2 linked regions of the Callithrix jacchus genome follow. The protein of the gene in region 1 purifies or fractionates together with the protein of each later gene. This does not show direct contact. Links are inferred from orthologs where the notes say so. Each region holds a gene or a part of one and is shown on either strand. Other genes may lie near its edges.

The links. Proteins that work in one complex are often made in the same cells at the same time.
Region 2: the proteins of ARRDC1 (region 1) and NEDD4L purify together in Homo sapiens (affinity purification with mass spectrometry; 3 studies listed by BioGRID and IntAct, counting the BioPlex papers as one, with this or other methods). This does not show direct contact. The link is inferred for Callithrix jacchus from reciprocal best matches to the Homo sapiens genes ARRDC1 and NEDD4L.

Annotation. Positions count from the first base shown.
Region 1 is NC_133502.1:185,956,719-185,961,763, reverse strand, and holds the start of ARRDC1 (arrestin domain-containing protein 1), read right to left. Parts: upstream 3,202-5,045; 5' UTR 3,173-3,201; coding exon 3,055-3,172; intron 1-3,054. UniProt on the Homo sapiens protein: Functions as an adapter recruiting ubiquitin-protein ligases to their specific substrates. Through an ubiquitination-dependent mechanism plays for instance a role in the incorporation of SLC11A2 into extracellular vesicles.
Region 2 is NC_133514.1:101,373,079-101,377,671, reverse strand, and holds part of NEDD4L (E3 ubiquitin-protein ligase NEDD4-like), read right to left. Parts: intron 2,816-4,593; coding exon 2,683-2,815; intron 1,319-2,682; coding exon 1,142-1,318; intron 1-1,141. UniProt on the Homo sapiens protein: E3 ubiquitin-protein ligase that mediates the polyubiquitination of lysine and cysteine residues on target proteins and is thereby implicated in the regulation of various signaling pathways including autophagy, innate immunity or DNA repair.

The sequences.
Region 1 (5,045 bases):
ATGCAGTTCTGCCCACAGAGAAGTGAGAGCAGTGCATGGGGTCCATTGTGAGGGGTCTCCTTGCTGCTGGAGAGGCATGTGTCCCCACTCCCTCTTCTTTCCAGCTTGCAGACTGCTTGTGATGGTAGCACAGGCTGAAGGGAACCTAGCCTTTCGAAACAGGAAAGCCTCCGGGCAGGGCTTGGCTGCAGGACTGAGTGGCTCAGCGGCAGTCACCTAGTCAGTGTGACTTCTTCCGCCTTCTGGACTTGAAGGTTGTACCTCTTTGCAGGGGCCCTGGAGCCCCATCCCTCCTCCCTCATACAGGTTCAAAAAATGTTTCCAGCTGGGCGCGGCGGCTCAAGCCTGTAATCCCAGCACTTTGGGAGGCCAAGGCAGGCAGATCGAGAGGTCAGGAGTTCAAGACCAGCCTGACCAACATGGTGAAACCCCATCTCTACTAAAAATACAAAAATTAGCTACACATGGTGGCGTGCACCTGTAATCCCAGCTACTCAAGAGGCTGAGGCAGGAGAATCGCTTGAACCCAGGAGGCAGAGGTGGCAGTACGCTGAGATGGTGCCACTACAGTCCAGCCTGGGTGACCAAGTGAGACTGTCTCAAACAAAAAGTTTCCTGGCTGGGTGTGGTGAGTCACACCTAGCACTTTGGGGGGACTGAGGAGGGTAGATTTGCCTGAGCTCAGGAGTTTGAGACCAGCCTGGGCAACACGGTGAAACCCCATCTCTACTAAAATACAAAAAATTAGCCAGGTATAGCAGGCATATGTGTAGTCCCAACTACTCAGGAGGCTGAGACAGAATTGCTAAAACCTGGGAGGTGGAGGTTGCAGTGAGCCAAGATCACGCCACTGCACTCCAGGCTGGGCGACAAAGTGAGACTCCGTCTCTTAAAAAAAAAAAAAAGGTTTCCTGTGTTCAGATGCACAACCAACGACAAGCTGTTGGAGGCTGCAGGCTGCTTTGATTCTAAGGAAGATCAAGATTGGGCCGTGTTCTCAAGTAACCACTGGAACTTTCTTCTCGAGCTGAGGCCCCTAGCTGTTCAGCAGCCCTTCCCTTGTACCACCTGCACTTGGACCATGAAGAGCCACCCACTCCTCATCCTCATCCTCATCTCACAGGCCTCACCCCTGCCACGGAAGCTGTGACCTGTGAGCCATTCCCCTCTCCTGTTTCCAAATCTGTATCATGAGAGTAATAACCGTACCACTTTCCAGGGTGCTGAGGGTGAGTGAGGCTGGCCCGTGGGACCCAGAGAATTGCATCGGGCCCACACATGAGCACTCCAAGAGCCACTGTCAGCCCTGGTCACCCATCCCAGTAACAGCAGAACATGGGGTGGTCCTGTCTGACCCCCAACCCTGGAATGGGCCAGCCTGGGATACAGAAAACTGCTCCTTCCCAGGCCTCCCTCTGCATCAGCCCTGAAGGCAGCCTGTGTCCATGTCTGGGTGCTGATTGTCACCAACACTCATCAGACAGAATCAGTGAGCAAGCCCTGGGGCCAGGCAAGCCTGCTGTCCTCCTGGGGGTGGAGGGCCTCCCTACTGGCTCCTAGCAGGACAGAAAAAAACATCCTTTGAATGAGGAAAAGAAACCAGGGTCATTCTGTTCCCATCCCCGGCAGGGCCGGGGAAAATTCCCGAGGGGCCTGGGCACAGCCCTCCACCACACTTCCAGCAGCCTGAATCATCAGCTCTCTGGCCCATCAGGGCCCTTCTACTCCCTCGCTGATGACCCTCCTTTTTCTCCCTCACTCAGACCATCCTCTGTGAGGTGGGACCATCAGCCAGGGCTCCCTCAGCTTCTGGGCCATCTGCCCAAAGTGCTGGCATTACAGGCGTGCACCACGTCCATGCATCCACCCATGCAGCCCAGGGGAGCCTGCCCACTCAGGCCAGTCACGCACCACAAGGCCATCCTTTCCCTGTGGTCAGCAATAGCCTTCTCGCCCCAGGGGAGGGACGGCAGGGCAGGGTGCTCCCCTCAGCTAGGATCCAACCCACCTCACCTCACACCTCACCTGTACCCAAGGGATACGTGTGCTATCTCTGCCCTGCCACAGCCACACCTGCACCCCCCAGACCCCAAACGCAAGGTGCGAACAGAGAAACGGAGGCCATGGGGTCAACCCAGGAAGCCCAACAGGCCCAGGAGCCTGACAGAAGCGCCTACCACCTGGCTTCTTCCCGGGATCCACAGCCTCAGGCGGGGCAGGGGCGAGGGCAGGGCCACAGCACCACCACCTGTCGCAGGCGGCTGAGGACGGAACGAAGGCTGTGGGTCCTCGGCAGGCACAGCGGTGCTGTCACCCACGCGGAGGCCCAGCGGTCAAGGTCCAGCGGGAAGCGCAGGGGCAGCGGCTTAGACCAAGCAGCCCAGGTGGGTCCCACAGGAGGCCGAGGTACAGAAGCCCCCGGCAAGGACGCGGCGCTCACAGCCAGGGACCAGGCAGAGGCCTGCGCGGAGGCCCCGTGCTGGGAAAGCAGCCTCACCTCGCGGGCCTGCCTCACCTCCAGGGCGCGCTGCCAGCGGCCACTGCAGCAACCCGATCCCCAGTCCGGGAGTCCGCCTCGGCAGGGGGCCGGCCCCGAGGCCTGCGAGAGGGGGACCGGGGCGCGGGGAGCCGCAGCAGGTGTCTGTGCCCTGCCGGGACCGCACGCCCGGGCCAGGAACCGCTCTGCAACGGGCGCGCGGGCTAAGGGAGCCCGGGTGCGGGAAGGTGCCCAGCAGGTGCGAGCGCGGACCGGGAGGGTCCCAGGCCTGCGTGCGCCCCGCTCAGGGCGGCTTCACAGCGGACCCGCTTCAGGCCCTGGCCTCAGGCCCCGCCGGAACCCCGCTGCCCCTCGGCGAGAAGGCAGGAAGAGCAGACGCGGAAGGGCGGCGCCGCCCACACCTCCCCGGCGCCGCCAAGCCCGCGCCCCAGCAGTCCCGGGCGGCGGCGACAGCGACTCCGCGGACCCAACCCCCGGCCCCGCGACGGCAGCCGCTTCCGGGAGCCCCGGCCCCGCGCAGGTGCGGCCAACGGCCCTCCCCGAGGACCCGCGCCCACCTCGGAACGGCAGCGGCGCCCCCAGGCGTACGCGCACGGTCCCGGCCAGAGGCTCCCCGGGGCTGTAGACGACGCGGCCGTGGCTCAGGCTGATCTCGAACAGCTGCACTCGCCCCATGCCGCGGCCTCGCCGGCCCGCCGCGCAGTGACGCCCCCGCCGGCGGCCAGCGGACAGGGCTCGGAGGCCCGGCCCCGCCCCCCTTATGCCCCGCCCCATCCAGGCCCTCCCGGCCCCGCCCAACCCGGCCCGGCCCCGCCCCGCTATGTCCCGCTCCATCCAGGCCCTCCCGGTCCCGCCCAACCTGGTCCGGTCCCGCCCCCCTATGTCCCGCTCCATCCAGGCCCTCCCGGTCCCGCCCAACCTGGTCCGGCCCCGCCCCCTATTCCCCGCCCCATCCAGTCCCTACCGGCCCCGCCCAACCTGGCGCGTCCCCGCCCACCCCCGGCCGCCCCCTCGCACGCGGGCTGCGGCTCGGAGGTCCGGCCCCGCCCCTATTCCCCGCCCCATTCCTCCGCGTGGCCCTGCCCCCGCCATGCCCCACCCCACCCCGGCAGCCCTCATCCATCCCAGGCCCAGGCCCGGGCCCGCGCCCCCCTGGGTAGTGGCCACGCTGCGTCGGGCGCCACTTAAGGGACTTGCGGCGCAAGCGACCCCTGCGTGCCCCACTGAGGGAGTCATCGCCGCGCCTCTGTCAGGGGGCGGGGCGGGGGACGGGGAAGGGGCGGGGAGGGGGCGGGCCGAGGCGAGCTCTGGGACTGAGGAGGGCTCCCCGCAGAAAACCCACGGTCTCCGCCCCCACCCTCTGCCCGCCCCTTCATGCATTCTTCATCAACCCAGGTCGCGGAAAAACGTCTCGGGGCCGCGCCGGCGTCCTGGGCCGGAGGGCTCCGCCGCCTACCACCTGCCCGGCCTCGACCCCCACCCCCGGCTCCTGCCCTGCACCCCCCGCCTTCCCCGCACCTACCCCGCGTCCCAGCACCTGCCCCGTCCCCGGCACCGCCCTCCGACACCTGTTCGGCGCCTCTCCCCCACCCGGGCTTCCCCCCACCGCGGTCTTCCCCGTACCTGCCCCGCCCCCCCGTTGGCCTGATGGGTTGCAGGGCCCAAAGGAGCCACACTTGGACGGGGCGGGGGTCCGCAGCAGAGGGGTCAGGGGCCAGGTGGGGCGGGGACTTGGATTACTTGAGACCCGGAGGAACACACTCCGATTTATCTTTTTTAAAGGTCCCTTTGTAAAGACTGAGCCGCCGGGGGTGGGACTCAAATACCCTGGGGACCTAAGTGGGGAGAGTCCCATTGGATAGTCCCAGAGAGAGAAGGCGGCCTTTGCCTGGGACCAGTTCACCATGGAGTGGGTGAGGCGGGCCCCACTGCTGCGAGTTTTTCTAGGACAGCAGGCGAAGAGGGTGGCCTTCTCTGATGGGGAGGACGGGCCTAGACACACGCGGTTTGCAGGTGGGAGAGTCATCACATGCAGAGTCTGAGGTGCCACTGATCCCCAAGTGGACCAGCTACTTCCGTGAATGAGCCTAGGAGCCAAGCACTAAAACGTTGCCATCTCTGGTTGGTAGAAGGTAACAGGTCAAGGAGGAGGAGTTTGGCACCCCAGCAAAAGGAGAGTGGCTCACAGGCTGTAGGAGCTCCCCCCCACCTGCCCGGGCCTGGATGGAAGAGACTCTGAAGCCCCAGTCCCAGCTGGCTCCCTTGGGATTCTGATGTTTCAGGAGGTGAGTCTGACTGGCCATGATCCAGACACTTTCCTGACAAGACTATACACAGGCAGAATTCCCGAACAAGAGAGAAGAGTGCAGTTGAATGGCAAGGATTATGGACAACCCCCCCGGAATGGCAGTCAGCCATGCCAGAAGTCAGAAAGAAAGTGTTGGCCGGGTGCTGTGGCTCACGACTGTAATCCCAGCACTTTGGGAGGCCGAGGTGGGCTGATCATAAGGTCAGGAGTTCAAGCTCAGTCTGGCCAACATTGTGAAAC
Region 2 (4,593 bases), on another chromosome or scaffold:
TAACAATAGTTTTACCAATTCAAATAACCCCTATATATACAATCTCTTTTATCCTGTCCATTTAGCACTACATTTTCATCTCAGTGACACATCTCTTTTTGAAAAAGTCACAGAATTTTAATGTGAAATCACATCAGCTGAATAATAAATGCAACTCATGTAGCAGAGGCCTACAGTGTCTTTTAAAATAAAAACACCATAACCATAAAGCAATAGTCTTGCAAGTACTCATTGCGTTTACGTTGCATGCAGTGCTATCATTTGTGTTCGTCATGGTCACCATAATGACTGCTTCTTTCTAGGATGCCGTTTTCAGTGGAGTGACTACCATCATTTCTTATCACACATCTTTTAGTTCAGTTTCTTGAGAAACACTGAGACTTCATTTGCTCTTAATTCTATGCACAAGCAGCGATTTTCTATGGGGTACTTCTGCACCATTCTGTATTGTCAAACATGGAAGTCTTTGTGACTGATTCCACTGGGCTCAGGCACTGGGCCCATCTGAAGCTTCTAGAAAGTATGTTTCTGATGGTTGAGAGCCCAAGTTAAAATGCTACCTTGATGACAGTGTCACAATTTCACAACCTTTCTCAAGGGTTTATACTCTTGGACTTGGGAGATGTCTTCTATCTCCCATTCAAACCTTGTTTTGGATGGGCCACGTAAGCCTCATGCCCGTATCACTGAAATGAGAATTATAAAGCCTGCAGAATATGATTTAAGAGAACTAATTAGGTCTGATGGCTTTTAATTGGTACTGTGACATCCTACCTTTGTGGTAAGGTACTACTGTCCTGAGTCTTTTGGCTGGGAAAGGATTCTACAAGGTTGAAGCTAATATTTACAGACATCATGGAGTTTTATTTCTTTGAGTTCTTTATAAACCAAGAAAGTGTTAGTGGTATGGGGTGAGCAAAGCTGCCTTCCAAATCAAGAAAGATTCTCACCCGCTTAGGCTAATTTTAGTATGCTCCTGCTTCTCCTAGGGAAGGAGGAACTTTGGAAAATGTGAGTTAACTGGGAACTGGAAGACCCCTGCTCACTATTTACATAAAAGATTCTCCTGAAGCAACAAAAAACAAAAACAAAAAACAACGAAACACTGCTTAGCTTTATTTTTTGTAAGAACAATACTTACAATCAAAGAGCTGAACTGTTCCCCATTGGAGTCTGGAGTGATCTGAAGCCTTCTGCTCAGTTCCTCTGACAGCTCCTGAGGGCTGGTCCGAGATCCCGGGGAGGCCGGTGGTGGGGGCAGAGCCAGACTGAGAGAGTCTCCAGCAATATTCACTTCCTCTGAAATAGTCTCCCAAGGCTTTCAGAGAAGGAGACACTGGGGTAAATGCTAGGAAATGGGGATCTGCCCAGCTCCCCAACAAAAGCATGTAACAACGATAGCCACAGTAATAACTATAATACCTACTAAGCGCCTCTCACAACCTTCACAATAATCGTGAGGAAGATAAGATATATTTAAAACCTTCAATTAACAGATGAGGAAACTGAGGCACAGAGAATGACCTGCCCAAGGTAACAGCTAGCAAGTGGTAGGGCCATGATGTGAACTAAAGAGGCCTGGTTCTAGACAGAGGCTGTGCTCGTAACCACTTTATACCACCACCTCTCTGAATGGTGACTGATTTCCAGCACTTGTTACTTTATGCATGTGCCAAAACACACACACACACACACACACACACACACACACACACACACACTTTTCTCTTGACATGGACTTCCTTTTTAATCACCGCATTGTGAATGATCTTCCTAAGACAACGTCTAAAATGGATTTTTAGTATGTAAACAGAGCTGATAAGACATCATGGAAGTTTATGGCTCATCTGTTGTTTAATTCATAAAGTTTTAAGTAGTATATCATAACAGCTTAAAGGGAAAATTGCAAATTTTTATTCACCCAAATTTATATTTTCATGGTAATAAATTTCTTTCAAGGTGTCAAAGCGACTCAGTAAAAACGTGCATGTGATATCCAAACAAGTTATAGGGCTCATTCAACAGCTCAACTATGATAACTAAGTTGTCATTTAATGAAACATGGTTAGACGCTGGTGAAAAATAAATTACAAAGTGAAAATATCTTCAGATTTTCATACTGAAAGATAATGTTGGCTGGGCTCATTGGCTCATGCCTGTAATCCCAGCGCTTTCGGGGGCTGAGGCAGATGGATCATTAAGTCAGGAGTTCAAGACCAGCCTGGCCAATATGGTGAAACCTTGTCTCTACTAAAAATACAAACAAACAAAGAAACAAACAAAAAAATCAGCTGGGTGTGGTGGCGGGCGCCTATAATCCCAGCTACTCGGGAGGCTGAGGCAGGAGAATTGCTTGAATCTGAGAGGCAGAGGTTGCAGTGAGCCGAGATCACACCACTGCACACCAGCCTAGGAGACATAGCAAGACTCCATCTTGGGGGAAAAAAACAATAATGTCATTCCCAGTTCTATCAATAATAGAGCCACATGTACTTGTCAAATATGGCTTTTATAGCACTTTCAAATTAATTAATATCCATATGGTAATTAATTCACTGTGTCAACATCATCTTTACATTCTCAACAACATTTACTGAGAGAAGAATTGATGATATAAAATCAGTCTGGAGAACATGGAAAGAAGGAGCTGCAGGGCTCTGCAGCATTCTGGGGACATCGTACCTCTGGGACATCCCCGCCCTCCGAGGGCTCCGGCTCCAAGTCCTCGCTGATGTGCCTGCGGGACCGGAAGCGCCGGTGCGCTGCCTCCTGGTTGATCTGTCTGATGTTATTGTCCGACTCAGAGGACACGTCCCTGAGCACGCAGGAAAGGGGGAAGGAGAAAAAGAGGAGAAGTGGTTGAGATGGAGCCTTTCATGACAGTCCAGTGCCCACAGAGGGCCAGATGCCCACTCAAGCGTCAGCATAAAACACTGACTAGCTGGTCATCCAATGTGAGAATTCTCCCACCATATCACAGCTGAAGTATACGTTAAGGTTCACTGCAATCAAATAAGTGCAGTTTTAAAATGCATTACACCATTTTGAGTATCTTTCAGGCATTTATTTGAGTATCTTTCAGGCATATTTGAGTATCTTTCAGGCATATATAAGGTACTAAAGTATACCTTAGTGTTAAATAAAAAACAGAAATCAAAGTCCTCTACCCATCTGTCACAGTGACAAGTCAGGCCTCTGGAAGGAGAGGTGACAGGCGAGTTCACACAGCAGCTGGGCAGTCCCAATCCTTCTAGAAGTCCAGCAACGACAAGGCAGCTACTTTTGGTCACCAGCAATTTGACCAAAGACTACAAAAGGTACAAATTCAAAGCTGCCATCGAGATGAAAGTACATCTGATCCAACGTGAATTCTTTTCAGCTGCTTTCTAGCTCATTTTGACAGAATCGCAAAATTGTGACACTGCATTTCTCCTCTTTACCCTACTTTAAAAATCCTAGTAACTCTCAAGTCAGCTGGGGTCTGAAGACCACCACCACATCACACCGTATTTTTTGTCATGTGATGCTCTCGATTCAGGATCTAAAAGTTTTGATTCAATTTTGAAAACTTTTTTGGGCTGGGCATGCTGACTCATGCCTATAATCCCAACACTTTGGGAGGCAAGGGTGGGTGAATCACTTGAGGTCAGGAGTTCAAGACGTGCCTGGCCAACATGGCGAAACCCCGTCTCTACTAAAAATATGAAAATTAGCCAGGTGTGGTGGCATGTGTCTGTAGTCCCAGCTACTCAGGAGGCTGAGGCAGGAGAATCACTGAACCCAGGAGGCAGAGGTTGCAGTGAGATGAAATTGCACCACTGCACTCCATCCAGGACAGAAGAGTGAGACTCCATCTCAAAACAAATACAAAAACAAACCAACTATTTTTTTGCAGTAAATTAAAGGCAATCATTCTTTGGGGGGAAATACTAGTCAGAGGCTTTTACTGTACAAGTTTAAATGCCAAAAAGGTTTTCAGGGAAAACTCTCACAGATACTTTCAATAAGACAGCATATCATGTTAATGAAAATTACTGCACAAGTTAATATCTCAAAAGTTGAAATCTTTATTTCACATTAACTGAAATATAGTACTTATCAAGAACACTCATTATAGACTCCGTCTAAAACACAAATTTTAAAATTTTCTTACACATTCTGAAATGAACTTATGCCATATCCCAATAAAGAGCCTGCTAGCAGAGGCTGTGGTGGAAACTTTCCTTAACTAACTTTCTTCTTGCCTTCTGGAAGTCATGCCCATTGGAAGGAGGCACTCCTCAGGTTCCACCAAGTTCTGCTGTGTCCTTCCTGGCTCAGCCCCTCCCTTTGGCATTGCTGCCTCTCTGATGGGGTAGCTATGCCTCTGCCTTCTCCCAAAACTACATGTGAACCTGAACCTGGATTGAGAACTGCATTTTTCGGCCGGGTGCAGTGGCTCACACCTGTAATCCCAGTACTTTGGGAGGCTGAGGCAGGCAGATCACCTAAGATCAGGAGTTTGAGGACTGCTTGACCAACACGGTGAAACCCCACCTCTACAAAAATGCAAAAATTAGCAGGGCATGGTGGTAGGTGCCTGTAACTCCAACT